Astyanax mexicanus: one gene and its partners. The protein of the gene in region 3 purifies or fractionates together with the protein of the main gene of each other region. This does not show direct contact. Links are inferred from orthologs where the notes say so. Each region holds a gene or a part of one and is shown on either strand. Other genes may lie near its edges. The genes, in order: pds5a, smc3, cdca5 and pds5b.

What was found.
Region 1: the proteins of cdca5 (region 3) and pds5a purify together in Homo sapiens (affinity purification with mass spectrometry; 4 studies listed by BioGRID and IntAct, with this or other methods). This does not show direct contact. The link is inferred for Astyanax mexicanus from reciprocal best matches to the Homo sapiens genes CDCA5 and PDS5A.
Region 2: the proteins of cdca5 (region 3) and smc3 purify together in Homo sapiens (affinity purification with mass spectrometry; 7 studies listed by BioGRID and IntAct, counting the BioPlex papers as one, with this or other methods). This does not show direct contact. The link is inferred for Astyanax mexicanus from reciprocal best matches to the Homo sapiens genes CDCA5 and SMC3.
Region 4: the proteins of cdca5 (region 3) and pds5b purify together in Homo sapiens (affinity purification with western blotting; 4 studies listed by BioGRID and IntAct, with this or other methods). This does not show direct contact. The link is inferred for Astyanax mexicanus from reciprocal best matches to the Homo sapiens genes CDCA5 and PDS5B.

What each region holds. Positions count from the first base shown.
Region 1 is NC_064432.1:20,279,001-20,286,282, forward strand, and holds the start of pds5a (sister chromatid cohesion protein PDS5 homolog A), read right to left. Parts: upstream 3,019-7,282; 5' UTR 2,807-3,018; intron 2,639-2,806; exon of another isoform or gene 2,616-2,638; intron 2,605-2,615; exon of another isoform or gene 2,475-2,604; intron 1,744-2,474; 5' UTR 1,703-1,743; coding exon 1,586-1,702; intron 1-1,585. Other genes in the region: n4bp2 (NEDD4-binding protein 2), read left to right, coding at 4,504-4,753, 5,931-6,786, 7,027-7,151. UniProt on the Homo sapiens protein: Probable regulator of sister chromatid cohesion in mitosis which may stabilize cohesin complex association with chromatin. May couple sister chromatid cohesion during mitosis to DNA replication.
Region 2 is NC_064430.1:22,055,053-22,062,165, forward strand, and holds the start of smc3 (structural maintenance of chromosomes protein 3), read left to right. Parts: upstream 1-4,109; 5' UTR 4,110-4,295; coding exon 4,296-4,310; intron 4,311-6,647; coding exon 6,648-6,723; intron 6,724-7,006; coding exon 7,007-7,045; intron 7,046-7,113. Other genes in the region: dusp5 (dual specificity protein phosphatase 5), read left to right, coding at 448-857. UniProt on the Homo sapiens protein: Central component of cohesin, a complex required for chromosome cohesion during the cell cycle. The cohesin complex may form a large proteinaceous ring within which sister chromatids can be trapped.
Region 3 is NC_064408.1:21,133,803-21,140,715, reverse strand, and holds the start of cdca5 (sororin), read right to left. Parts: upstream 3,014-6,913; 5' UTR 2,817-3,013; coding exon 2,765-2,816; intron 1,009-2,764; coding exon 929-1,008; intron 212-928; coding exon 149-211; intron 54-148; coding exon 1-53. Other genes in the region: zfpl1 (zinc finger protein-like 1), read left to right, coding at 5,760-5,861, 5,963-6,074. UniProt on the Homo sapiens protein: Regulator of sister chromatid cohesion in mitosis stabilizing cohesin complex association with chromatin. May antagonize the action of WAPL which stimulates cohesin dissociation from chromatin.
Region 4 is NC_064425.1:46,070,776-46,077,938, forward strand, and holds the start of pds5b (sister chromatid cohesion protein PDS5 homolog B), read right to left. Parts: upstream 3,005-7,163; 5' UTR 2,863-3,004; intron 2,516-2,862; exon of another isoform or gene 2,357-2,515; intron 1-2,356. Other genes in the region: n4bp2l2 (NEDD4-binding protein 2-like 2), read right to left, coding at 4,456-4,618, 5,275-5,351, 5,525-5,613, 6,184-6,308, 6,686-7,163. UniProt on the Homo sapiens protein: Regulator of sister chromatid cohesion in mitosis which may stabilize cohesin complex association with chromatin. May couple sister chromatid cohesion during mitosis to DNA replication.

The DNA of each region.
Region 1 (7,282 bases), on a different chromosome or scaffold from region 3:
TCTAATACTGGATAAAAGTAAGCAAGCAATTTAAGAAATCATTCTTTTCATTACCTTCAAACATGATAGTTCAACCACAAACTCATTAGTACATGGAATCATTTAAGAATTAACTCCAGGATGAAAGAAATACGTATCTGTTTTTTTTTTCAGGCAAACTCAATTTGCCTATTTACAATTTGTAAAACAAGCAACAGAAGGTCCCACTGTGTGTGTACATGACCTTAGCTTAGCGCCTGCTGTGAACAAGTAAACTTACGACATTTCAGCCCCACCCAACGCGTAGCTATACCTGCTGTTCTGTACTGCTGCCAGCTCTCTATTTACAACCATCAGACTGTCAAACAGTTTCAACTTACAATTTATTCAGCCTCAACACCCACAGCATTTTATGGAAATATGCTTTTAAACAGTTTTCTATTGCAGTTACTACTTCCTGATATTTCAATTTGTTTACAAGCTATTGAATACATGTTGTAAGGCTTGACTTTGGTCATACAGATAATCTACCAGCTACATAACTTGCAATACACATTTAAGTATTTTGCTTTTTGCTAGCTGTACGACAACAGGTTTAGTCTTGGTTGTATCCCTATCCGGCTAGCTAGGCTCAGAAAAGTTAGCTAGCAAACTAAAAACACCAAATTACAGACTGTGCTACAACTAAATGATGGTCAAATTCCTACCCACTTCTGATCTCTATTTTGTGTGTATTTATATATAGCATACACTATGACAATCATGACCACTATTATGCAACAATTTTTTATTAAATACTGAAACATACCAGAAACGACTAACAATATATACTCAGTACCTACCAAGTCAATTTAAATGAATTAATTTTAAGTAACATGCCTATGTTATTACATGTTAACATAAAATGTGACAGTAAAAATACTACAGGTTGTCTAACTACACATTAGCTAACTACTTAGATCACTGGCCAATCTACGGTAATGTAAAGCTTTCCAAAATTCTGCAGAGAACTCTATACAGAGTGTCTGTTATTGTGAATGTCGGCACACCAAACATCACATGATCAATAACAGCATACAACAATATAATATAATTGTGTCATAATACAAATGTGTCACTGCTGTAGAATATGTATAAATATCTAAAAACATGTACTAAGCTTCTGAGAGAGACCCATTCTTTCTCTTTGTTTGTATACACAGGAAAAGAACCAAAACAGGACTGAAGCATCTCTACCCATTTCTGAATATTGATACCAAGTTCAAAATTGAGTCACTAAGGAACTTCATGAGTTTATGAGAAAGTGTTGCCCTCGGGCAACCTATCATCTTTTGGTTATTACACCATACCATACCTTATTATTGATGTATTTAATTTATAACGTTAAAAGGAATACAATGGGGTCATAAATACACATATGCGGAAAAATATGTAAAAAACGATTTTACACTATGTAGATCACTGTTGTTAGGACCATCATGATAAAGCAGCATAATAATAAAAAATCCTAAAGACAAAGTCCCAAAAATATATATATTTTTTTACTTTTTGCCAGAGTTTGCCATGTTGTTATACGGATTAAACGTTAAATACGTTGCTTTCTTACCTTTAACCGTTTAACCACTTCATCGTTGCTGATTTTGTCCGTTATCTCCTTAACTCCGAGCGGATAGATGATCTTGCCGTCCGCCCCCGGCGGTCTCTGCTGCTGAGGGAACTCCATGCCGCCAAGCGCTGATGTCCCACACGGTCCTATACCGGCCTCTATGGGCAGGAAAACAAAAGTTCAGCGAGGGATCCGGCCGTACTTTCACAAAAACACGTTTTAAACAGCTCACAACCTCCCAAAATCTGACTTTACAGCCTGTGGACACTGAGTAGCCTGTCTGCGAAACCGGGGCGTGCAATAAAACCGACTCGGATCCGGTCTGAGAAATTTACCGAGTCAAAAACCGAGAAGCTAACGAGCTAAATTAGCTAACCGACCAACTGCCCTGAGAGAGAGCTATAGCTAGTGGCTAGCTATCGTTAGCTAACACGGCATGTCCAGCAGCCGCTTCCCAACACTAGTTAACGTTAGTTAACCTAAGATCACTAAACCAGCCCTGGCTCCAGCCACCGAACCGCGGGGTTAGCTGATAAAATGAACGCTAAAAATGGAGAAAGAGTTTCTAAACGTTTAAACCAAAACAAGCCGCTAGGTTAGCTAAGCTAGGCTAATTCAGAACCCGCCGACAATGCAAAAGCTATGATAGTTAGCTAACTACATGCTAATATTAGCTAGCTAGCTAGCTTTTCTCATTAAAACAGGGAAGCTGTGGCCTAGCATACAGCGCGCTAACTACGCTAAGCTAACCTAGCTAGGCCGCAAACTACCTGAATTCACTTAACACTTCAATTTCATCAAATCAATACAATCAAAAACACAAGTTTTCACACGTCAAACCGACCTCCACTCACACCCACGGCTCAACAGCACCACATTCCCAATTTACCTCAACTTTAGCTCGCAGAAAACAACAATTATCTACTTGTTTGCCTCTCTGTGAGTCCAACTCAGTGAGGCAGCAGCAGCATCTTTCCCAGCTCCGCTAACTACTACTACTCCTTGCACAGTCAGAGGCGCAGCCACTCACCGCCGCTCGCCGTCCCTCACCCCGCGAACCAGCCCCCCAGCGCGGCTCCCCACAGCCCGGCGACGCGCTTCTTCCACACACACAGTCAGCTTTCCTCCCCTCCAAACTAACCCCGCTAACTTACTGCACAAACTCCCCCCAACGGCCCGGCTCCACTCACAGCCCGGCCAGCGCCTCTCCCCCGTATTTACCTCTCAAACAAGTTGTTTTAATTCATTGGGCAGCTCCAGGACTGTGGGGTTTTTGAGTTTAGGCACAAAGCTGCCTGTCTTTCACACACAGCAGCGCTGTTCCGATGTCCTCGTTCTGAAACCTGGAGCCGCAGCGCCCCCGTCGGTCCCAACGCCGCCTCGCAGCACAACAACACCGAGCCCGGGCTGTGTTCACTCCCACAAACGACTCCGGAGTCGACTCCGGACGGAGCTCCGAGTTACTGGAACCAATGGACTGAGTCCCTAACGGTACGCGTCCACTGGCACTTAAGCCCCGACGCATCCCATTCATTTCAATGGAGAGAGCCGCCGCATGCCGCGGTGCATACTGGGTTGCGTTGCGTTGAGCGCAGCCCCGCCCTCCGGCAGGAAAGTTGAACAGATCTCAACTTTATTCAAATGAATCCGGCCGCCGCGCTGCGTCCAGCCAATCAGGGAACAGCAGGCTGCCACACCACACACAGACGAGCCTCACACACACAGAACAGGCGCCTTTTAAACACAGAAGAGAGGCTTAAAATGGCGGAATATGGATTTATACAACTATAGATCACAGTGAAGTTGACTAAAAAGGTAAAATATTAAACTTATGATTGACTACATCTGTTGCTTCATTTGAATTCAAAAACGTTACGGACACGCCCACACGCGGCGATCCAAGAGATCCGGCACGGCGACCTGCGTTGAAGAAAAGTGCCAGTGGACGCGTACCGTAAGGTGATATCATGTAAAAGTCGTGGCGACAACTTTTTAAAGCGTGGGAACGAGATACATAACTCGTGGGGAGGCCTTATATGACCGGAACTTAAACATTTTCTTCACACACCGAACTTGTTATTAGGCTTTAATACGTAGTGGCCCACACTTTAATACGTAGTGGCCAAGCATTAGAATCTCGTTCCCACGCTTTACTACATAGTAGCCAAGCATTAGGATCTTGTAACTAACTACACTTGAATAAGTAGAGGTCAAGCATATTTTCACATTATTGTATACAATAATGATTATATTTGTGCATATGTTTTAAGTGTGATATTTTCATATATAGTTGTATTATTTATGGTGAATATCTATCAAGTCAGTCAATCAATCTGTCGGCCAATTAGTTAGTTAGCTAGTCAGTTAGTTAGTTAGTCAGTCAGTCAATCAGTTATTCAGTTAGTCAGTTACCTAACTAGTCAGTTAGCTAGTTAGTCAGTCCGTTAGCTATTCAGTCAGTTGGTCAGTCAGTCATTCAGTTAGCTAGTTAGTCAGTCAGTTAGCTATTCAGTCAGTTGGTCAGTCAGTTATTCAGTTAGCTAGTTAGTCAGTCAGTTAGCTATTCAATCAGTTGGTCAGTCAGTCATTCAGTTAGCTAGTTAGTCAGTCAGTTAACTTAGTAAGTCAGTTGATTAGTTAGTTACTCAGTCAGTCAGTTTGTTAGTCATTGAGTCAGTCAGTTATTTAGTCAGTTTGTTAGTTAGTCAGTCAGTTATTTAGTCAGTTTGTTAGTCAGTTATTTAGTCAGTCAGTCAGCTTGCTGCGGTTTCCGTCTATTCGCTGGGGGCGCTGTGAGATTTGGGGCTGTTTTGATTGTGGGAGCTTGCCCTAACGCTAATGGTGGACGGTTGGGTTTGTGGTCAGTGTGGTCAGCGGTGGTTCTGCCCGCAGCCCGAGCCTGAAGCGCGGTCGGCACCATGCCAAAGAAAAGGAGGAACGGACACAGTCCCGGCCGGGGTCCGCCGCACGCCGCGGACATCGAGGGAAGCGGAGCGATGAGACGGGCCGCCCCGCAGAACTCCGGCCCCGACCCTGGGTCCATAGAGCCCGGGTACCCCCGGTCCAGCGCTCAGAACCGTGAGGAAATCGTGCTGAGCATGCAGGAGATGTTCTCCCACCTGGACCCGGCGGTTATTCACCTCCTGCTGTCTGAGGCAGACTTTAACGGTGAGTCTGGGCCGCTGTCAGAGTCAGGTTACCTGAAAGTTACTTAGCTAAAAGTTAGTTAGCTTAGCTTAGCTTAGCTTAGCTTAGCCTAGCTAACTAGTTAAGTTTGTTTACAACAGAACAGAACCCCCTGTTTCAGTTTTTTTTACCTACAGGACATTAAACTCATTAAACTATCTAACTGTCTATAGTACTATATTTATGTTATACTATATTTATGTAGTATAATGTATTTATCTCCTCAAACTCCTACATACTCTGACTTCTGACTGTTTATTTACACACTACAGCTGACAGGGAACTACAGTACCAGTCTAAAGTTCGGAAACTTTTTCTCATTCAGTGTTATTCTTTATTTCTTTATCTAATTTACTTCCAAAATTGTAAATTAATATTAAAGACATAAATACAATCAACCACTATTTTCACTCGGGAGTACGCTGAGGGTTACCCTCATTTGTAGTGCAGCAGAGCATTTACAACTTAAAGAAACTGGAAAGGAAAATAAACTTTAAATCAAGTATTTCATCAGGTTAAACTAAAATAAGGAACTTCATGAACATTACAATAAAAATTAAATTACAAAAGCAATAAAACACAAACAACTGAGATTGAGTTAAAATAATGTAAAATAAAAGGATAAGTTGACAGGCGAAATATAGTGGTCAAATCAAGAAAGAAATAATAAAAATACAATAACACACAAAATGAAAGATAAAGAAAGTAACCGGTAAAAATAAAATAAAGTAAAAAAAAAAAAAAATGCCAATAACTAATGGAGAAAATAAAAAATGGACGAAACAAAATGAAGAAAAAGTTAAATGAAAAAATTCAACCAAAACAGTTACAGGCTGTCTGAAGGTGGTTAGAAATTAAAAGTTTAAAAAATATATTATTGACACCTTTAGTGACTTGCGCTTTAGTGTTTCCTGTAGTGAATTTCGGCTTAGAATTTCGGCTCAGAAATCTGAGAACACTCTGATGTATAGTGTATATATGCCCTGAGAAATGCGAATCTACTGTGGTTACCATGGGCTGAGAAATCAGATTACTGAGCTAAAATCTTAATAAAATCTTACCCAGATTACTCTGTTTACATGACTGCTTGAATAATCAGAACAGTTCTATAATCAGATTATGAATGTGCACTCACAGTTATCATGTCCTTGTATTTCAGTGGAGAATGCAATGGATTCTCTGCTAGAACTCTCTAATGCTGCTGAAACTACTACACAACCTTCAGGGTTTGAGATGGCAGCTGCTCTACTGGACCGACAACCCCGTACGAATCAGATGGAAACGAGCAAGAAGATTTCAGAAGGTTTCACAGGGCCAGACAAAGTAAACCCACAGCGGAATCAGAGCCCAGAGACGACACATCTGACGGAGGAATTTGATTATCTTCTTGATCAGGAACTGGGAGCTATAACGGCACTCCAGGGTCCTTCTGGCACCCAGCTGGCCGTACTGGACCTGCACCTGCTGGATGTGGAGAATGATTCAAAATCAGGGTCTTTAAGCTCTGACTCCAGTACCACGCTGCCTGGCCAGGCCCACCGAGGGGCATCACCAGTAAACGAGCTAAGCTTTGGAGGGGCAGCTTGTCCCAAAGAGAACAATGTTTCTGTGGACTTCAGTCATCTGACTGAGGATTCCCACTCCAGGCCTTCTGCCTTTAAGGCGTACTGCCGGCCTGGTACATTTCCAAACCGCACCGGCCCAACAGCCCATCCTGAAAGCCTACACACACCTGCCATGTTCTGGAACATTAAGGCTCCAGTGTTCCAGCCCCGTGTGGGCAGTCCTGGTCCCCGGTTTACCCCTGTAATGAGACCCCCTCACCCTTGGAATGGCCATCCCTTCAGCACTGCACAATGGCTGGCCAGCAGGCCCGTCAGTCAAGCTCCTCTAAAGCCTTCAGCCACTGTTCCCAAGTCCTGGACCCTCCCTCCTGTGAGTAGGCTCATACTGGAGGGCCCGGTATTGGTGCTGCTCAGAGGTGCTCCAGGATCAGGCAAAACCACACTCGCTAGGTAAGCCTGTTTTTGATTGCTTTATGCGGTATTTTACCTATACTAAGTATGTTGTGTTGAAATCACATTGCACTTTATCTCAGCATGTTGCATTGTATTCCAATTAGCATGTTCACCAGTGTGGCCAGTATGTTAGGTTGTGGCACAAAATGATTAGTTCTTTATAAGACCAAAGTGTGTGTGTGTGTGTGTGTGTGTGTGTCTATGCTCTAAGAGTGTGTTCTGTCTTGTCCTCTGCAGTGCCATGTTGGAACATAACCCAGGTGGGGTGGTACTAAGCACAGATGAGTACTTTACCCGCAATGGGACGTATCATTATAATCCAGATCAACTGGGAGAGGCTCATTCATGGAATCATGTGAGAGGTGAATTATACAGGATCATTTCTAGTGTTTTATTCAATGCTGATGTGTGATTTTTCCCCAACAATTGTGCAGTTAGAAGTTGTGCTGCATTATATTTACTGTTAATATTATTAATTATCCATACTCAACAC
Region 2 (7,113 bases), on a different chromosome or scaffold from region 3:
AACTTGTAGCGCCTAACAACCACACTGTAAAGGGTGGCATTATATTAAATTATATTCTCAGTCAGAGCTCTATAAAACAATCTGATAAACTGAGTCAGAAAGTGCAGATTCTTAACTTTCACCAGTGTTTGTAATATAATATAGTACAAATTGTCTTTGGCATATTTGATTTGCAAAAACTATAGAATATAGATGTAATGTAAATCTTGTTTCACTACTGATTGTAATTGTGTAATTACATTTAAATGACATTTGTATGAGATTATAATTAATTTATTAAATGATAATGTATTATATTATATATATATATGTCATAGTAAGACCATGTGATGAATTATCGAGTTATAAATTTTACAGTGAAGCTTAAATTCAGCAGAATGTCAGTAATAATAAATTAGAGTTACTTTATGAACGGTTTCTGATCCTCCTCTCTCTCTGTCTGTTTAGACGAGGTGAAGCAGGAGGGGGGTAAAGTGCTGGTTCACTGTGAGGCCGGGATCTCCCGCTCGCCCACCATCTGCATGGCCTACCTGATGAAGAAGCAGCGTCTGCGGCTGGAGGAGGCTTTCGAGGTGGTCCGGCAGCGCCGTACCATCATCTCTCCCAACTTCAGCTTCATGGGTCAGCTCCTGCAGTTTGAGGCGGAGGTGTTGTCCTCCACTCCGCCGTCCGCTCCTCCCGCCACCGCGCCCTGCCAGCAGGAAGCCGCCTCCTTCTTCAACAGCAGCGCCGCCGGCGACGCTAAAACCGACAGCAAGTTCTCCTTCGAGGGAACCTTCGAGTCCTCCATGTTCACCTTTCCTACCTCCTTCCTTCCTTCACCGTTCAAACTCAGCCCAATCACTGCCCTGCCTTAGCGGGACCTCCCCAAGCCCCGCCCCCTCTGACTACTTGAAAGATGACAGAATAACAAGCAACAGAATGGAGGAGAAAGAGACTCTGTGTTATTTATAAAGACAGTGTTTGAGTCCGGATCCGGGAGCAAGTGTTGATTTCTTCTCTGTTGTTTGCCTTTGAAAGAGTCTGCAATACAAGCCTTAGTTTAATCATGTGATCTCTGCCTACTGATGCTGCCCAGAGCGGCGTTTCACATTAAATTATTGATTTTTTTTTATGTTTTCTTTTTTATGAAGTATAAAGATCTGTTAATAAATGTATTTACAGAAAAGTAAGCTGTTCTCATGTGTTCTTTAACAAACCAATTATTGATTATACTGTGTAAAATCATTTGAACAGTTTTTGGGCATTTTCACACCTGTAATTGCTTTCTATGGTCTAGATCAGGTGATGAGTTTGTTTATTTGGACCGTTTCTCCCTCTATTCGGTTTGTTTTCACACAGGCATAAACCTAAACGCAACAAAATACACACCAATAAACCACACAAGCACATCGTCTCCTCTGACTGGTTAGAGCTGTCTGGTGTGTGAACAAGAAAGTAAATATAGTGAGAAGATTCTGTGTTCCAGGGCATATATCTGTATATCTGTGGAGTGTGAAGCTGCTTTAATACAGAATACTGCAGTGCAGGTGTACACGTAGCAAACAGAGTTGCACGGCTGCAAGCAGTGAACGCAGCACAGACCGTGCTTAGTGTGTAAACAGCATGGAGCAGCAAAGACAGTGTTTGATCATAGCTGTGGTAATTAGTGTTATCTGGCAAATATATCAAATTAAACTGCGCCTTATCAGCATTTTAGCTCAAATAAAAAAAGTATTTTTAATATCTGGGTTGGATTGAGACCTGATCACGATCACACCACAAGAGAACAAAACGCTCCAGAGATCGTTTGGGACAGAGATCACCTCCTCTAGCAGGTCTCGGTCCAGTTGTTTTGATCTGAACCCGCGTGTGATTACTGTTTACACACCTGCTCAAACAAAAACCGCACTAAGAGTACATACCAACCAGAGTCTGTTTTAACTGTATTGAATAGTGCTGATGTGAAAAGGCCTCAGACATTATATTAGTTTGAGTAGATCACCATGATCAGATTTAAAGAGCTCTCTGAGGCCTCCAGACGTAGCTGTAGATGCAGAAGAGTCTGGAAAGAACCTCAAAAAGATCTTAGAAATAAATCATGTAAATATGGAACAACTGCAAACATTACCAGGTCAGACTTACAGTGCTAACAATGCTGAAGAGAAAACCACTGGAGTAAATAAGATAAATTTCTTAACTATTCTAGAATATCATCACAGAATCTACAGGTAGTTTTTGTCTTTACAATTAATCATAATTTACATAATCTACCAGCAGTAAGAAACAAACTGGTCTGATCTTCATGGGACGTGTGGAAGGAGAAAACATCAGAGAAAGACTGAAGATCTCCAAAGAACTCTTAAAAAAAACACCAGGAGCTGTTTAAATCAGGATTAACACTGTTTAAAATGTGAGATACATAATCACATTAAACTTTCAAGTGCACAAAAAAGGCAAACAAAAAAAGATATGAAGTAAACAAGAGATAGCACAAGCTTATCTTAGAACTATCTAATTTTGGTAAACTAGACATTCATTCTTTATTCCAACTGTTAAAACTGATCATTTAATAAAAAACAGTAGTTTCTCCAAAGAGAAAATTTAAGAAAATCTTGTTACAATCAACAAAGCTTTTTGTAGAATTGTATCATAATTTTTTTCTTAAATAATAAAAAACATCTGAGAAGCATTTCTTTCTTAAGACATATTTGTACATTTGGTCTCAGTGGATTAATTCGGATTAGATTTTAATAATATACAGAAAAAGGACAGGCACCAACCGTATACAGCAGACAACCAGTGAACAACCAGCCAAGAAACAGCCAAGAGAGATGCAACAGTGACCCCTGTTGTGACCCTGAAATTAGGTGAACATGCTTATAAAGTACTTACATATAAATCATTGTTTTACTATTCAAGTGTTCCTGATTAAAAAATAATATTTCTCCAATTAAAACTTTCCAAACTAATGTAATATATTTGTGTAAAAAGTGTTAATTATGAAAGGTTGTGAATTTAATATAAAATATCAAAATTAAGTTAAACAGAAATACAGCAATACAAAATATTATAGATGTGAAAGTAAAAAACACATTTTAAGACAAACAAAAGCAAACTGTCACTACCCAGATAGCAAAAGGTCTAAATTGTGCTAATCAATAACTGTGACTCCATACACACAGTGTGGAATTCTGCAGTAGGAGAAGAAAAAACTATATATTTGCTCAAACTATGATTTTGGCTTTTTTCACAAACAAACAAGTCAGTTCAATCTATATGTATATGCACAAATAAATGCTCTTAATGACTATATTTTTATTTGGAATTTGGGAGAAATATTGTCCATAGTTTGTAGAATAAAACAACAATATTGCTATTTATAGGTTTATATTTGTGTAAAATGAACATTATTATTTTGTCCTATAAACTACAGACAACATTTCTCCTGAATTTCAAATAAAAATATTATCATTTAGAGCATTTATTTGCAAAAAATGAGAAATGACTGAAATAACAAAAAAGATGCAGAGCTTTCAGACCTCAAATAATGCAAGGAAAACAAGTTCATATTCATACAGTTTTAAGAGTTCAAAAATCAATATTTGGTGGAATAACCCTGGTTTTTAATCACAGTTTTCACTCATCAGTCTTACACACTGCTTTTGGAAAAGTTAATGCCACTCTTGGTGCAAAAATTCAAGCAGTTCATCATTTTAAGTGGTCTCTTTTTTTTTTTTTTACAGACCTATATATATAGAGATTCGCGTGTCGCATTAACATAATTTATAAAACAGAAATAACGCAGAACAGAGGGGGAGAAATAGAGAAATGTGGGATTTTACAGTAAAACTGTCTCCAAACAGCCGCTTCTCACATTGGCGCCCAAAGCTGTCTCAGTGAGGGCTACACCAAGATCTCAAAATGGGGGTTTATTAGACTACCTATGCCATAATGTAATGAGTCCTATACAGTATTTCACACAAATATGAGGAATAATTTATTTGAAGGGATATTATAATCATAATAGGTGATTATAATAGTAGTTGTGGGTTTAATAAAGCGATAAAGACAGTGCTAGAAACCAGACTCCCCCTAATTCAGCGAGGTAAGCTCGTCCGCTCCGCTCGCGGCGCCATTTTCCATGTTATTTCATTTCTGTGAGGAAGATTTTGTGTTTTTAAGCTCAGAAACCGGATTAAATCTCGAGCTGCGGGGTTTTAATTCTTATCCGGACCTTCTTCTATCTGCAGAGGAGGAGGAGGAGGGCGCGGGAAGCGTCTTTGCAGCGGGGTTTATTCCTGCAGAGCGCAGACATGTACATTAAACAGGTGAGTGAATGGGAGGCAGCTTTACCAAGGCTAAGGCTAAGAGAAGCTAAACTATGCTAAGCTAAACTGAGCTGAACCGCATAGTTAGGCTAGGCTAGGCTACAGTTTAGAGTAGCGCTGCAGGTTAGCTAGTTAGCATAGCTACTGTAGTTTATGTAGCCATATACAAGCAAACTTCAGTTAATACATATTTATGGGACATTTTTATTTGTTTGCTCAATTTTTCATACAAGTAACGTTAACGTTAGCTAAAATAGTTAGGTTAACTAACTAGCCAGCTACGTTAGCTAGCTATATGTTTGAGGCTGAGGTAACGTTAGCCAACTAGCTTAGCAAGCTCGAGCTAATCTTCTCACCAAAATATAACCTAGTTATCGGGATCTGGGGGGTCAGACTATAACGTTAAATTAGCTACTGTTGTACTTAACTAATGTCAACTTACTGTACCAATAAACAAAAAGATGTTTAATTTACCTAATTAAAATCTATAATACCGTGCATTTGGTTTTATTTGGGTAACTAGACCCGTAACTTTAGCTTTTGAAGCTAACCTAGCTTAGCCAACTATCTGACAAACTTGCGCTGCTCTGACACAGCTAACGCTAACCTGGCTAACACTAACTTTTCAGTCTTATTACAGAAAGATAAAGTTATCTAACTGTGTGCTGATATTAAGCAATAATTTGTGTAACATTTATTTGTGTAACGTTTTTCCTCAAACATTTTCAAAATGTCCACATATAACCTAGATTATGTTAACTAGCGAACGTTACCTCTCTATTATTTTATCTTATGGTTTTCATATTAGTACCAGTTAAAAGTTTGTACACCTCTTCTCGTTTAATGTGTTTTTTCTTTCCTTTTGTGTTATTTTTTTATATTGTAATTTTAATATCGAAGACTATGTTTAAGCTATACAAGTACACATGTAGAATCATTTAGTAAACAAAATGCTTTAGATTTTCTCAGCGTCTTAAAGGATTTTCTGGAGGTTGAACAAGAGTAGCTGCTTTTCCTTCACGCTGTGCTCATTTGTATACGTTGTATATAGGTTACATCTGTTACAAAAAAAATACATGTATAGCATGCCACTAGTAAGCAATAATATCGCAAAAATGTCGTTTGAATATTATCATGAAAAAAAATTATTTTAGGGCCATATTGTCCACCCCTAGTATGCACAGTTGCATCGTATGCAGAACTGTAGAGTGTTGCTACAAACTGTTTCAGATCTTAACTCTGTCATATATAAAGTCGTGAAGGGTGATAACTAACGTTACTAAATTATACGTTTTTTAAACAACACTGTCACTTTACCCTCACTGAGACACTTTATCACGTTACTGCTCTTTCTTCAAACTATGCTGCTATAGCAGAACTTGTTTATTTTATTTTAACAAATGCTTTATGGGTGTAAACTGGACAGTGAGATTACAATTTTGCTCCACCTCATGTACCACGTGTGATGTGAATGACAACACAGTCTTCTTGAATCCTTAAACTACATACACTACTGATGTGAGATATGGGGGGGAAATTAGGATAAAATACAAGATTATGTTTTGACACAGCCAAATTCACTAAGCTTTAAAACAGCAATTTAAAGTGTACTCAGAAAACGTAGAGCTCATATGTATTAATTTTTAAAATAATCTGTACTCCCAGCTAATAAGGACATGTTTAATTACACTGGTAATAGCTAATGTAAGTGATCACAATTTGTTTGCCCCAACAGTATTCACAGTATGTTCAGAAAGATTGCTCAAAAATAACAAACTTTCAGTGAATAATAATGATAACTATATCCACTTGTTGCATAATCTACTAAACCAATTTAATGTTCAAATAGCAATGCTCCTTTACATATTGTAATGAACAGTATGAATATTCTGCCTTTTGTATAATCTCTTGTTAAATTAGCAGATAAACCCCTATTCGGATATTCTCCCATACATAATACAGTAATTTTACATATACGAATTTCTGCATTCCTCCAATTAAACAGGGGTAGTTACATCTTTGTAATGAAATGTTCAGTTGTTTCAGTGCTCTTTAAGCACTGGTGATATCCATGATAGATTTAGAAAAATAGGTTGTGTGTCACAATAACAAAATCACAGTGGGATAAGAAATTGTCGCAATACCTTATAATTTTAGTTGACGTGCAAATGTGTTTTACTACTGATCTATGATGTAATTGGAAAAGTGGACAGTGGTGTAATCTTATTGTCTTGCCCAACACTAGTGCATGATAAAAAGATGCATGATAAAATTCAGTTTAACTTTAGTTATTAAGTGAACAGAAGTAAGTATATTTATTATCATATGTATCCCCAGGTTATTATCCAGGGCTTCCGCAGTTACAGAGACCAGACTGTGGTTGACCCCTTCAGCTCCAAACACAATGTCATCGGTAAGTTATTCTCATTTTGTTGGGCTGTATTTCTCTGCAGCATGTAGCAGACACTTTACTTTTTTTACATTGTAGTTATATTAGTTATGTTGAGAGAGTATTTCTGTAGTTTACAGTTCGTTGATTCTTCCTGTCATTTGCAGAGGGAGATGATTGACTTGAATGTGATGACAAATAATTCATTATTTTAAAACCCATTCTGCCTTATTGTGATGAGTGTATGTGATTTGGATATTTTGGAATAGTGGCCACAGCTTTTCATGCTTTGTTTCATTTTCCCTAGTTGGTCGAAATGGATCTGGAAAGAGTAACTTCTTTTACGGTATGTACTGCAACCGGTATGACTCAGTGTCTTTACTATGTGTGTGCCAAATCATGTCACTTGCAATA
Region 3 (6,913 bases):
TTTCCGGCACTGGATCTTCTTTCCACATTTTCCTTGATAGGCTCTGATGGTACCTGTGACCAAAAAAAAGCATGGTGTGAAGAAATATATGTATAATGAATGAAAACAAGAACAGTGCTTATTTATCAATGTGCTTATTTGTAGTTACCTGAGTTTTCCTGGGTGCAATTTTTCGTACAGTGATGGAGCGTTTAACAGAAACGCGTGGAACCTGAAGAAGCAAAGAGGCATATAAATCATTAATAACATAATATGCCTAAAGGTTTGTAGACACATAGTCATATGCTTTAAAAGCCTATCCTCTCCTGGAAAGGCTTTAAACTAGGTGTTAAAATCTTTTCTGCAATATTTTATTGCAATTAGCCACATTCACATCAGGTACTGATGATGTGATACCTGTCCAGCGCAACCCACCGCATTTATATAAAAAGAGTATACACACTGTGTGCAACTGAATGCTTGTTTAAGCAACTTGCGCATCTCAAAGTAGCGAAGTTTTCTAATCAGTGGTATACGAATGCTTTTGTGCATCTGGACCTGAGCATGTATACCAAACCACATACGATTCTTAATGTACACAACACAAATGACTGTACTTTACAGAAATTATAAAGAAAGAGACTGGCACATGGATAAAATATGAATTCTTGTTACTCTAAACTTGGTATGTACTGATAAAGCCCAAAGTTGTAAAGTTGGTGGAAAAGTGAACAGATTTGCCTATTAGGGCTTTTGTTTACTTCTAATGATGAAGCACTACTTTTAAATACTACTTCTTGTAGTAGTGTGCTGTTTTCGATGCACCTTTGTTTTTTTAACATATTATTCAAAAAAGGTTTTACAGTAGGTCAGATTCCTGTAAAATAATGTAATCTAGCTTTATATTTAGAGAATAGTTTAAACAGTGAACATCCAGCAAAATTCTCACCTCATCTTTGGGGGGCAGGTTTTCTTCATTCCCCGACAGCCTTGCTGATCTCCTTCGCTGTTGGCTGCCTTCATCTGTTTCTAAGAACACAATGCACAACTAAACTTACCCAAACAAAAATGAAATGTCATAATAATTTGATTCAGCAACTCTCAAAAAGATTTTCAAAAGTCAGTTAGAGTGTTACGTTAAATTCTAAGAGTGTATTATGAACTATTTCATGATATTTTAGCAATATAATGAAGAGGACATCGCTAATGAGGACATTGCAACATAACACTAGTTCAACTACTGCCAAAAAATGTACATTTTATTATGTGCACTTTATTTATGAAAGGTCCCAGCAAACACACTTAGACTGTGACAACCTATTGTTTGGTGCCTAAAACACTGTCAGACTGTACATTTATTAATAGCAATGCACTAAATATTTGGAAGTAAATGCCTTTAAAGTTTGCCAACCAAAACTATTAATTTAAATATCTGTCAGAATGGAAGCAATTAGACTGGAATCTCATTTAGTTCTGTATTTCTTATTATACTTTTACTTAACTTCTCAAAATTGGTACTTCTGCGATTGCTTTGTCTTAACAATGCATTGCTGATTAGGTTATTTTGTTTTTACAACTGTAATTTTGTTCTCGTCTGGCCAAGAAATTAATTTGGTTCAGCCTAACTTTATATTAACTATTAATTATTATTAACTATTAATTATTAACTAAATTAGGTTGTGACAACATTTCTCAACAAACATAAACAGAACTACCTTTTAACAACATTGTAAAACCATTAAAAGAAAGTAGACAATGCTTAAATTAGTTGTATGTTTGTTGGAGAGCTTTCAGGGCTTATACTGTCTCGAATAAACAGTTTAACATGTATAAACAATACATTGCTTTGTGAAAATGAGTTTTTGTATTGCTTAATATAGGGATGTGCCATATAATTTTGTACGCAATTATATCGATTTTATACCCTGAAATATAGTGCCATATCCAACCTTTTATCACATCAGGTTACTACTTTTTGCTGTTTTCAGCAAAAGAAAAATAAACACTGTTTTCAATCCCTGTTATATATCTACTAGAGACAGATTATAACTGTGCAGCATCATTTATTTTACTTTAATCCTGGATATTTGAAGTGCTGATATCTAAATTAGGTGTTTTAGGGGTGATATTTTGTGCAACAATATAATTTCCTTTTTATTTGCCGCAGTAGTGTAGAGTATTGTCACACAAATGCCATGCAATATCATGATATTGTCTTAAGGGCCATATCGCCCACCCCTAGTTTAATATTTACACTAATATGTAAGGCTCCCTTTGTTGCACTTTTAAGAGAGAGTAGAACTGAAATGGTCTAATGTTAATGTTAACCTAGCCAGCTGGCTAACTGTTATGTAAGAGCTTGAGTTCAGAGAAGGAGCAGTCCACAAAAAGCACACATTGGTTCCATTAATTTCTATTAGATAATCATTAGCTAGCTAACTAAGACACTCGAACCTATTATTAAATTAACATATTTTATCAGAATCAAACAGGACTATAACATATAAGTTAACCGAGCTAACAGTTAGTTAATTACCACTAGTTAGTTTCTTAACGCTAGTAAGGTTAGCTAACGTTAGCTAACTACCCAAACAGTAACTTAAGCTAACGTTAGCTTATGACAACACAGCGTTAAAATAACTATAATATTTAGCTAGCCTGGCTAAGCAAATGAAATAGGAGTTGGCCAACCTAGTTAAATAACTTAGCTAGTTATTGTATTAGTTATGACTCTGCAGTACAGAAATAAAGAGTTATCGTGGGCTGGTTCAGTTCAGTCACTCACCTCTGCTTTTTATGAGGCCAGTCGACGCTGACCGCGGTGTCCTGCTGCTCATTTTTAAAGTTACTCAAAAAAGTCAAAAAGTAGCGAGCCTGCTGCCCACAGAAAACGCGAACACATAAAGAAATATGTGAACTCCAAAATTCCGCGCTCGGTTCAACTAAATTCGAGATATTTCTCTCACTAGAGAAACGCGAGCTGCCCGGCGAGCTTTCAAAATTACCCGCCTTCCTAACAGAAATGGCGGAACAACAGAGGGACTCGATTTGTGAATGAATCGTTTGAGTCGGTTCATTTGAACATTTTAATTTCAAGCTGATTCGTAACGTCCCCTTCAGTTCGGTTACACGTGAAGGATTACAATGATATAATAATAATTTTACTGTTTTACTTACACAAAAAAACCCACAAATATCATGAAATGCGACACTGTAACATTACAAAAATGCGTGAGTTTAACCAAATCCGACGTGAGATTCATTAAAACGGACAAAAGAATCGGTTCGTTGTAGGAATCGAACTACTCATCTACCAAGCTCGTTTAAAACATTAATTAATTATTAAATATATAGTGAGTGATTTTTTTATTTATTAAAAAACAATAGAAACGTCAGATAATGCGTTCCTGACTTATAATAAAATATTATTTCTAAAATATATTTAGAAATAAATGTAACACAAGTTAAAAATAGCGTCAGTTCAACCTTTAATCCGGTAGGCGGCGCTGTTTGTAACGTTGTCGTTTAGAAAAAGTGGCTGTGTCCCAATAATTGAATAAGTAGTGTGCTTTGTTCGACGTTCTCTGATCTGTAGCTCATGGTCCCGTTTAATATAATGGCATAGCTGGTGGGGATGTGAATTTCCAGGTTTGTAGATCAGGCAAAACTAAGAAGAGCAGGCAGTAAAGACGCTGTACCAAACAATTTAAAATAGACGCTCACGAGTTATTATCAAATTTCGCCCCCTATTTTAAGAAATACTAAGTTATATATTTTTAAACCTTTTTCGACTTTGCATCCATTGGACATGTTATGTTTTCTACTTTCTTATGTATTTTTTCACTTCACACAGATTAAGACCTATTGTCCACCAGAACAGACATGTATTATTGAAAACAAACAGATGATTAGCCCGCCCACTGCATTGGAAAACTAAAAATCTGCTCACTAAGGTAAAACATGGTAGCATCCCTGCTAATGTGGCAGGTTATGAGTTTTTTATTGCTTTGTAATTTGTAATATATATATATATATATATATATATATATATATATATATATATATATATATATACATATATATATATATATATATAATAATAATAAAAATAGCATTGTTGATCAAATGACTGCACTGCAATAAACAGACAAAATACAAATATTATGTTTAATTTCTATTTTTTTATGTATTTATTTACTGAATTCTGTTTTTGAGTACATTACAGACATAAAGAGCATTTAGATATCTTATTCATCATTAGAACAGGTTAGGTCTTAGAGTGTTGAAGAAAAAGTATCTGAAAACATGTAATTTCTTTTAAGTAAGCAAATAACACCATTTGGTATAGAATCACATACTCTTTTAAAATCAGTAATTGAACTAGTTCCGAATTTGTTGCAGAATTCAGATCAGAGTAAGACATACAACTGTGATTGGCTAGAAGACTTTAAACAAGAGCACACAGAAGTGAAGGCTTTACAGGAGTATTGGGACACAGCCCATGTGCAGTGTGATGTCATTACTCTGCGACTGTAGCGGAAGAGACGTGGCAGAAAAATGCTTCCCGATAAATGCATCACAAATATGAGTTAGATTAGCTGGACCAGGACATTTTTCACAGTTCTGAGCTTCAGTTTAAAGACACGGAGCTTGACTGAACCCGCGCTGTCTCGGTAAGTTTAGTAATGCCTCGTATTCGTCCCTGATTTTACTCTAACGGGGTTTTGACAGCTGGGGTTAAACGCCCCACTCTAAACACAGCTAACAGGCTAACTTAGCCAACTAGAGAGACAGGTAACCAAGCGATCTAATATGCGATAACAAGACACTGAAAAATCATACAGCTTAATATTTCTTACCCACAGCGTTAAAGCTAGCTAAACAACATACCTACCTATATAACCTTGACACAGGTTTATTTACTTTGTTATTTTAGGTGATGTATCCCCCCCTGCTCCATACATAGGGTACGTCTACTTAGGGCGTGGAACAGCTGATTCTGAAACCAACTATTTGGGAGTAACTTAATATACCTACTAAACTAGCTTGCTAATTAACATTTGATCACACTGAGGCCACTAATTTGTTCTGTACTTTTAAAAGAAAAGGATGGGTGTGTTTCTAACCTAGCTAGTTGATGTGGTTATATGGCTATATGTCAGTGTATTGTCTTATTACTGTTTTTCCTTATTTATTTTTTTTAGTTTGATAAAAGCCCACTTTATAAAACATTAGGTTACAGTCCAGTTGGCCTTCGTTTAAAGTAATTTAATGTAATAAAATATTAAACATCAATCTATGTTTTTTATCTATCTGTTTTTATATCTGTCTGTCTGTCTACCTATTTATCACCTATTTATTTATTTATCTTTCTATCTGATCAGTTATTTAGTATCTCAGATGTATTAAACTCTACTAAAGCCTGAGTAGAATAATCAATCACTGTGCTAATCAGTTATTTATGTCAGTTTCCTATATGACGTCTGACAGACATAATTAGGCATGTTTGTGTCTTTATTTTCATGCAACAGTATGTACTGTAGAAAAATGCATAGGTTGTATATGGTGATAATGTAAGGGTACAGGCCAGTTGTCTCTGATCCCTTTCTATGGCCTGAAGGTATTACTTAAATTTGAAAGAATGTTTCCGTAATAATCAAACTTGGCTCAAATGTGCAGCCACCAACTTTCTATGTAGTGTACAACTATTTGGGGCATTGATGCACTGACATTTGTTTACACTAATTTCATGTGTTTGTGTACAGTTCGACAGGCAGACCATGGGTCTGTGTAAGTGCCCGAAGAGGAAGGTTACAAACCTCTTCTGCTTTGAACATCGGGTCAATGTTTGTGAGCACTGCCTTGTATCCAATCACAGTAAGGTCTGTAGACTGATTATTGTGTATACAGATCTCACATGTTGGCTGTCCGCCTTGTTCACCTTCAAATGTTGACTGTGCTGTTCTGTTCCGCTTCTGTGCAGTGTATAGTACAATCCTACCTGCAGTGGCTCCAGGACAGCGATTACAATCCCAACTGCAGTTTGTGTAATCAACCTCTTATTTCCCAGGACACTGTGAGGTTGGTGTGCTATGGTGAGTCAGTCCTTTACATTATATTTCATGGCTAAATCAGCATGTGCATGCCGTGGCTAGATGAATAATACTGCTTAGCAGCAATGGCTGGTTATAATACTGTGTAAGGGTGTTAAAGATAACTCCTTAAATACAAAGTCGCATCACATGTGAGCTGGGGGCCTTTCTCAGTTAGAGGAATGGAATGATGGTTGATTGGTTGGACATGATGCAGCTTTTTGCACCCAGTTGAGGAAATCAGCTATACAGTAGGTTTGTCACGATAAAAAGTTTGTTTGGAGAATATATTTTTCCAGAAAAGATTATGATAAACAATAGTATTGCCATTTTAAGCCAATTTATGCCACAGATATAATGATGCTATAACAGCGTTATAATGCAATTAGACCATTTTAAAGAGCAACAGACTTTTCATTATGAAGAACATTCAGCCATCAGAATTTAAATATTTTTAAAAGTATTCTAAAAAAATAAAATAATAAATAAAATCAGCTCATTAAATTAATGGGTTCTCCTTAAAAAAACATATTGGAGAAAGCAAAGGTTCAGCAAAAATCCATGTCACAACCATGTATTAAATTATATGTTGTATGTATGTATGTACCTTAAAATGCATACAAACATATAAAGCGCATTTGTCTGGAATGTCTGTTAGAAACTCCAGCTGTTCATGTAGAGCAGTGGTATCAAAATCAAAATGTTAGATAAGCGGCTATGTTACATACAGTACAAAATCAGATGGACTGGACCTGTTTTTGTTGCATCTGCTTTGTTCAAGAAAAGATTTCCGACAGCATGAAATTCTTAGAAGTTGAGTCTCTGCTTGCCCTTTGCTGGCA
Region 4 (7,163 bases), on a different chromosome or scaffold from region 3:
AGAACCCAATCCCAATGCAGAAGGAGGAGTCCCAAAGGTTAATACCAAGCAGGCGATGTTTAATTTGCATTACATTCTTTAAGAATTCTATAAGAACTCATACCAACCCATTTATGACTTAAACCAAATAGCTTTATTAAAAAGGAGGGAAAGGAAAAAAAAAAAAAAAAGAAAAACAAACACACATTTAATACTTGTGCACTGTGTACGGTCAATCGTGCAAAATCCTCATTTCCAAAACAAAAACTTTACAGCAGTGAAAAAGATTTTAACTTTCATTGAAAGTCAATGTAAAAACACCAGATTCACAAAGGACAAAGAAATGCGACAAAAACAAGATACTAAAACATGTTTTTGCATTACCCAGCGCTACAGACCGAAAACCACACCTCGCTAACAGGGTAACGGACTGAACCCCAAAACCCACAACCAACGCGCCAGACTAAACGCCAAACCCCGCAACCAGCGCACCAGACTAAACGCCAAACCCCGCAACCAGCGCACCAGAATAAATCCCAAACCCCGCAACCAGCGCGCCAGACTAAACGCCAAACCCCGCAACCAACGCGCCAGACTAAACGCCAAACCCCGCAACCAGCGCACCAGAATAAACCCCAAACCCCGCAACCAGCGCGCCAGACTAAACGCCAAACCCCGCAACCAACGCGCCAGACTAAACGCCAAACCCCGCAACCAGCGCACCAGACTAAACCCCAAACCCCGCAACCAGCGCGCCAGACTAAACGCCAAACCCCGCAACCAGCGCGCCAGACTAAACGCCAAACCCCGCAACCAGCGCGCCAGAATAAACCCCAAACCCCGCAGCCAGCGCGCCAGAATAAACCCCAAACCTCGCAACCAGCGCGCCAGAATAAACCCCAAACCCCGCAACCAGCACGCCAGACTAAACGCCAAACCCCGCAACCAGCGCGCCAGAATAAACCCCAAACCCCGCAGCCAGCGCGCCAGACTAAACCCCAAACCCCGCAGCCAGCGCGCCAGACTAAACCCCAAACCCCGCAGCCAGCGCGCCAGACTAAACCCCAAACCCCGCAGCCAGCGCGCCAGACTAAACCCCAAACCCCGCAGCCAGCGCGCCAGACTAAACCCCAAACCCCATAACCAGCGCACCAGACTAAACCCCAAACCCCGCAACCAGCGCACCAGAATAAACCCCAAACCCCGTAACCAGCGCACCAGAATAAACCCCAAACCCCGTAACCAGCGCACCAGACTAAACCCCAAACCCCGCAACCAGCACACCAGACTAAACCCCAAACCCTGCAACCAGCGCACCAGACTAAACTCCAAACCCCGCAACCAGCGCGCCAGAATAAACCCCAAACCTCGCAACCAGCGCTCCAGAATAAACCCCAAACCCCGCAACCAGTGCGCCAGAATAAACCCCAAACCTCGCAACCAGCGCTCCAGAATAAACCCCAAACCCCGCAACCAGTGCGCCAGAATAAACCCCAAACCCCGCACCCCGCAACCAGTGCGCCAGAATAAACCCCAAACTCTGCAACCAGCTCTCCAGTCTAAACCCCAAACGCTGCAACCAGCGCGCCAGACTAAACCCCAAACCCCGCAACCAGCGCACCAGACTAAACCCCAAACCCCGCAACCAGCGCGCCAGACTAAACCCCAAACCCTGCAACCAGTGCGCCAGAATAAACCCCAAACCCTGCAACCAGCGCTCCAGAATAAACCCCAAACCCCGCAACCAGTGCGCCAGAATAAACCCCAAACTCTGCAACCAGCTCTCCAGTCTAAACCCCAAACCCTGCAACCAGCTCTCCAGACTAAACCCCAAACCCTGCAACCAGCTCTCCAGACTAAACCCCAAACCCTGTAACCCACACAATAGACAAAAAGGTTAGTTAGCTGCAATAGGTAATGTATTTATATTAAATAAATAATCCTCTGAAACCATTTGACAGGTGACATTTAGGGGTCTGATTTGAAGGGTCTGATTTTTACCAAAGAAAAACGTTCGTCAGAAAACGGGCTTTTTGTGATTAATCTGAATCAAATTGGATTCGTCTAAACCTGACAAGAGTTTTATCGATAAACAGATAATAAATGTGAACATTTATCTTCACAATAAAAAGGGGCTACATACATGACAGCTAAGCTAACCCCTCAGACCCTCAGCTACAGACAGCAGTTAGAGAGCTAGCTTAGCATCTACAGCTAACCCATTTAAAAACACCTCTCTAGAGACAGATAAAAAAATCAAAAAGTCTTGAAGCTATAAGAAGGGACCGATACGTGAACATAAAGAGGTGCAATTTTTCAAAAGCACAAAATCTCTTCTTTTGGAATTAAATAAATAATAAAATAATGAAAACCTTACCTAGCTAAGCTAACGGCTAGTTAGCATAAACAGCTAGCCCTTCTTGCTAGAGATCAGCTCTGGCGCTAACGCTCAACTCAAACAGGCGCTCAGGCTGAAAAAATTACACATTAACCGGATAAATCACCAAAAAATCCATATATTTCCCCTCAGCCTGCAGAGAGAAGCCGCTTCTCCTCAGTTTAACCGGATCAGAGAGAGATAGAGATAGAGGGAGGGGGAGGGAGAGGGAGAGAGAGATAGAGAGAGAGAGAGAGAGAGAGAGAGAGAGAGAGAGAGAGAGAGAGAGAGAGAGAGAGAGAGAGAGAGAGAGAGAGAGAGAGAGAGAGAGAGAGAGAGAGAGAGAATGGACCTCAGTACAGTTTAACCGGATCCGCGCTGAAATAACACAACAAAGCCCCCGCGCGCCCCCCGGCAGCCGAGCCTCCCGCTCCCCGCGCACACTCCGCCACTAAATCCCGTAACTCCTCACCGAACAGCAGCTCCTGATTTTAATAAAAATCTACCTGATTAGAGGAGCTGCAGTCCAGTCTCTTCTCCACCAGCTCCCCGATCCTCCTCTCCGCTTCAAAATGGCGCCAATTTGTCCGCTGGCTGCACCAATCCAGCGGCCCCTTCACCTCACACAGCCCGGGCCAACAGCGCCACATGCAGGACGCGGCGGGAACTGACACACCAAAACACCCAGAACAAAACTAAACCCCTGCAGACTCAACTAAACCCCTTCAGGCTAAAATAAACCCTGCAGACTACAACTAAACCCTGCAGACTAAAACTAAACCCTGCAGACTAAAACTAAACCCCTCAGACTAAAACTAAACCCCTTCAGACTAAAACTAATCATAAACCATTCAGACTAAAACTAAACCCTTCAAAATAAATAAATCAGACAGGAACATTCATTATAAATTCAGATTTAAAGATCCAGACTCAGACTAAATGATTCCTTCAGAATATAATATAACCATCAGACTAAAACTGTCAGACTAAAACTCTCAAACTCAACACTTAGAATTAAACCGTCGACATAAACCCTTCAGTCTAAAATCCTCAGGCTAAACTCTTCAGATTAAAATCATCACATTTAAACCCCTCAGACTAAAACCTTCAGGCTCTCTCTCCGGCGTTTGTCCTTAGACTTATATAAACATATATAAGTCCCTTACAACAGGACCAACAGACTAAATGCTTCAGACTAAGCAATTCAGACTAAGACCTGTTAGAATACAACTCTCAAACTAAACCCCAAATCCATTGACCAAAGCAACAGACTAAACCCCCTAGACTAAAACCCCAATCCCTGCTGCCAAAACAACAGTTTTAAATCCAAAACCTGCAGAAATTAACACAACCAACTAATCCCAAATCCTACCACCAGGGTAATAGAAATGTATTTAGTATTATAATTATTATATGATGTAATTTTATAATTTCTGTTCTCATCTTTATATGTAAGCTGTAGGCAGTAAAGGCAGCTGTGTTACAGGTGATACAGGTACCGATTACAAACCCAATCTTACCTCCAAGGTTTCGCTTCTCTGAAATGTAATCTAATAAAGACTCTACTAAGGGACATCCATGGGGACACTCGTTTAGAACAGGGAGACAGAACTGAGTGTACGAGACATCTAGTACCTGTAAATGACTTTATCCTCACGAAAGCATTTGGCTAAAATTTTACCTGAGAGTTTATTTTTTTTCCTTTCAAACAAAAGTGTTAAAACATCCACGTTTTACAACAAAAAGAAAACAGCAGTGAATGTAGCCATTGGTTTATAAAGTCAGTGTAAAAGGACAAAGTGTATGGTATCAGTTTTTTATTACAGTCAGTAATTAAACTGGACATTATGGACATTTCTTCATTAATCAATATAAAGACAGTGGACAGAAATACAAAATCACAAAGCTTTGTGTGTACACAAATTTCCAAAAATAAAGACCTGAACTGAGCATAATTCAAAATGTCATACAAATTTAAACATTATTTACAGAAGTTTAAAAACACAAATACATGTCTACTGACTAAATAACAAAAAAAGCTTGTTCCAAAGTTCAAGTAAAAAATATATATTTATTATTTTCTTTGTCTGATAAAAGATTTAAAAGTTATCATATTTTCTCTGTCCATAGGGTTTGGAAAGGCGCTCTTTGCTTTTATGAGGAGGCTCACAGGAGTTCATCACGATGTCCACACTGATAGGCAGCTCAAATCGATCCAGCATCTTTGCTATAGTGTCCCGTGGGACCCTATGTGTATTCCTCCTTTTGAAATGAATCAAACACATTAAATGTATTACTCATTATCTGTGTCCATAATATTAATTAAGGCCAGCATGCTCCAAAATTAATTACAAATATTGTTCCCCTATTTTTATGCTTTAAAATAGTTTGACATGCAACATAACAGGAGGGTTAAGTGGCTGGGAACAAAAGAACATGATTAAACACATTCTTTAGAAGAAAAGTCCAAAAATATTTTGACATAAAGTGAAGAATAAGTAACAACAACACAATATCCTACTTTAATTTTGATCAAAAACATTCTGAAATCAGGTTCACTTTTGTCACTAAACCACTAAACATTGTCTGAGATATTTTATAGATAAACACATTCATAAGAGAGATTTGGGTTGGTTTAGGAGGGTGCTGGGAATCTTTATCAATCAGAAAGTTTACATTAAGATTCTTTATGCCTATAAATGGGTCACATGCAACCAAAATTGTTTTTTCTAGGGCAATGATGCACAAACCCTTTTTTAGCATCTTTATTTTTAGGAGTGGAGTGGGCTTTTATGCTCCCAAACTTTTAAGAGGACATGCAAAGAAAATTTACTTGGCACATACATATTGGGTGCCCACAAGACCAACAGTCAGAGCCTTCCCTGGGATACTCAGGTCTACATAATGCACAGACTTACTTTTCTAACTCAGTGGGATCACATTTCCATCGTGTGTCAGGCTCAACAAAATCTACTCGATATCCACACTCCAAAGCCTGCAAAAAAATAAAATAGCACATACAAAACAGTCATAAACATTACCATACTGAAACAGGAATAATAAACACTGTTTATTTGAAAATTCTACAGACATACAGGTATAAACACAGTTATATTTCATATTTCAGGAAACCTATAGGATAGCCTGGCATTTTTTCTGATAACTTACCAATGTAACATAGGGCTTCATTTCCCAGGCCTGAACGTTTGTGTTGTCAATAATAACAGGTGAACGTCTGTCCAACATAGCATCTCTTGCTGAAAAAAAAAAACAGAATATACGGCTAGCTATGAAGCTGAAAATGTAAGAATATTCAGTACAGAGCAAAGCTTTAAAAACAAAAACATAAACACTTTTGAATATCTCATTCTAATACAGACTGCAATCTAATCCAAGTAACCAGTTACACCAGCTGAAGGTACGTTAAATTGTAGGTTACGATAAAAAATATCCTTAAAACACACTCAATGCAGTGAGTTCTAAACTAGTAGATTTAGGGTACGTCTAAATTAGTACTGCATGAACTGACTACATTTTAACATGACGATGTAGCCAAACTGTTTAAATTCTCTCCCATATAGAGCACATTATGTATATATGGAAAATCTGATGTTTAAAAAAATATGGTCAGTTGGTCAGTGTGTGTTTTTCACTGACAATATCCACGATATGCTCAGAAATATTACCATTCAATATTTTCACACTGTTCACCTGTATTTGTGAGAGCTCCATTTCTTTCTTGTGTTTCATATCTCATGTTAAAAAAGGGTCTCCGCAATATGTAATTCATGTTTTTATGTGATAACTTCTGTAGAAATAAGTAATACCTCTCTTTTGATTCCAGTCATGTGCATTCCCAAGTAAAGTAGGGTCAAAGAAGTAGCTGTCCTCTTGGAAGAAGTAATCATCAGTGCTCAGTATTAGACCATCAGGACCACAGGACAATATTTCTCTTTAAAGAAAATACAATAGTCAATAGTGTTTTGAAGGGAAAAGAAAGGGATGATGTAAAAGAAGGTTAAATGTGCGGAATTCTTAGTTAATGTAAAATAGGATGTTAATCACAGCAAAATTCTATATAATATATTACAAAAATGTATGGTATTATATATATATCGGTGTGATATTGTAAATAAAATGGATTTTCCATTTAAAATAATGCATTAATACAAGGGCCACCAATTTTACCCACAAAGAGGCTGGTGTGACTGATGATTTTTATTCAAATCAAAAGTACACCTCAACTAATTGAGCATTTGAAGCCAACAGATTATACAACTGTAATCAGGTGTGCTTCTGACTGATTGTACAGCCGCTCTGAAAACTCACTTTGCCAGAGTTGATTTCCCACAGCCTGGAAGTCCTCTCATCAAAATCAAAACCGGAGACGTGCCACTGTTACGCTGGTACTGATCTCGCTCGTGATAATGCTGTGTCTTATAATATGGCTGCCAGTCAGCTGAACCTCTTCCTCGCTGTTCAAATGACTCAGGGCAGTTTGATGCAGAAAGTCTGATGTCATTACGAAGAGGAAAATTGGTCCTTTCCCAGGAGCACCAGCTGTTGGTGTCATGGTGACTGTAGTTGTTAATAGGAGGCAGGAGATGCAGAGGTGGTGTAGGAGTCTGAGGTATAGGTGGGGGTGGAGGTAAGAAATGACGGCGGCCAGGAATTGGAAATCGTGGTGGGTCATGTGGAAGCCTTGGTGGTGGAAGATGTTGCCACTGACTTGGATGGCTGTTTGCTGCATCAGGACCGTTCCATGTAATTTCGTTATGTGGTTGAGGCTTCCATGTCCTAGAATTTT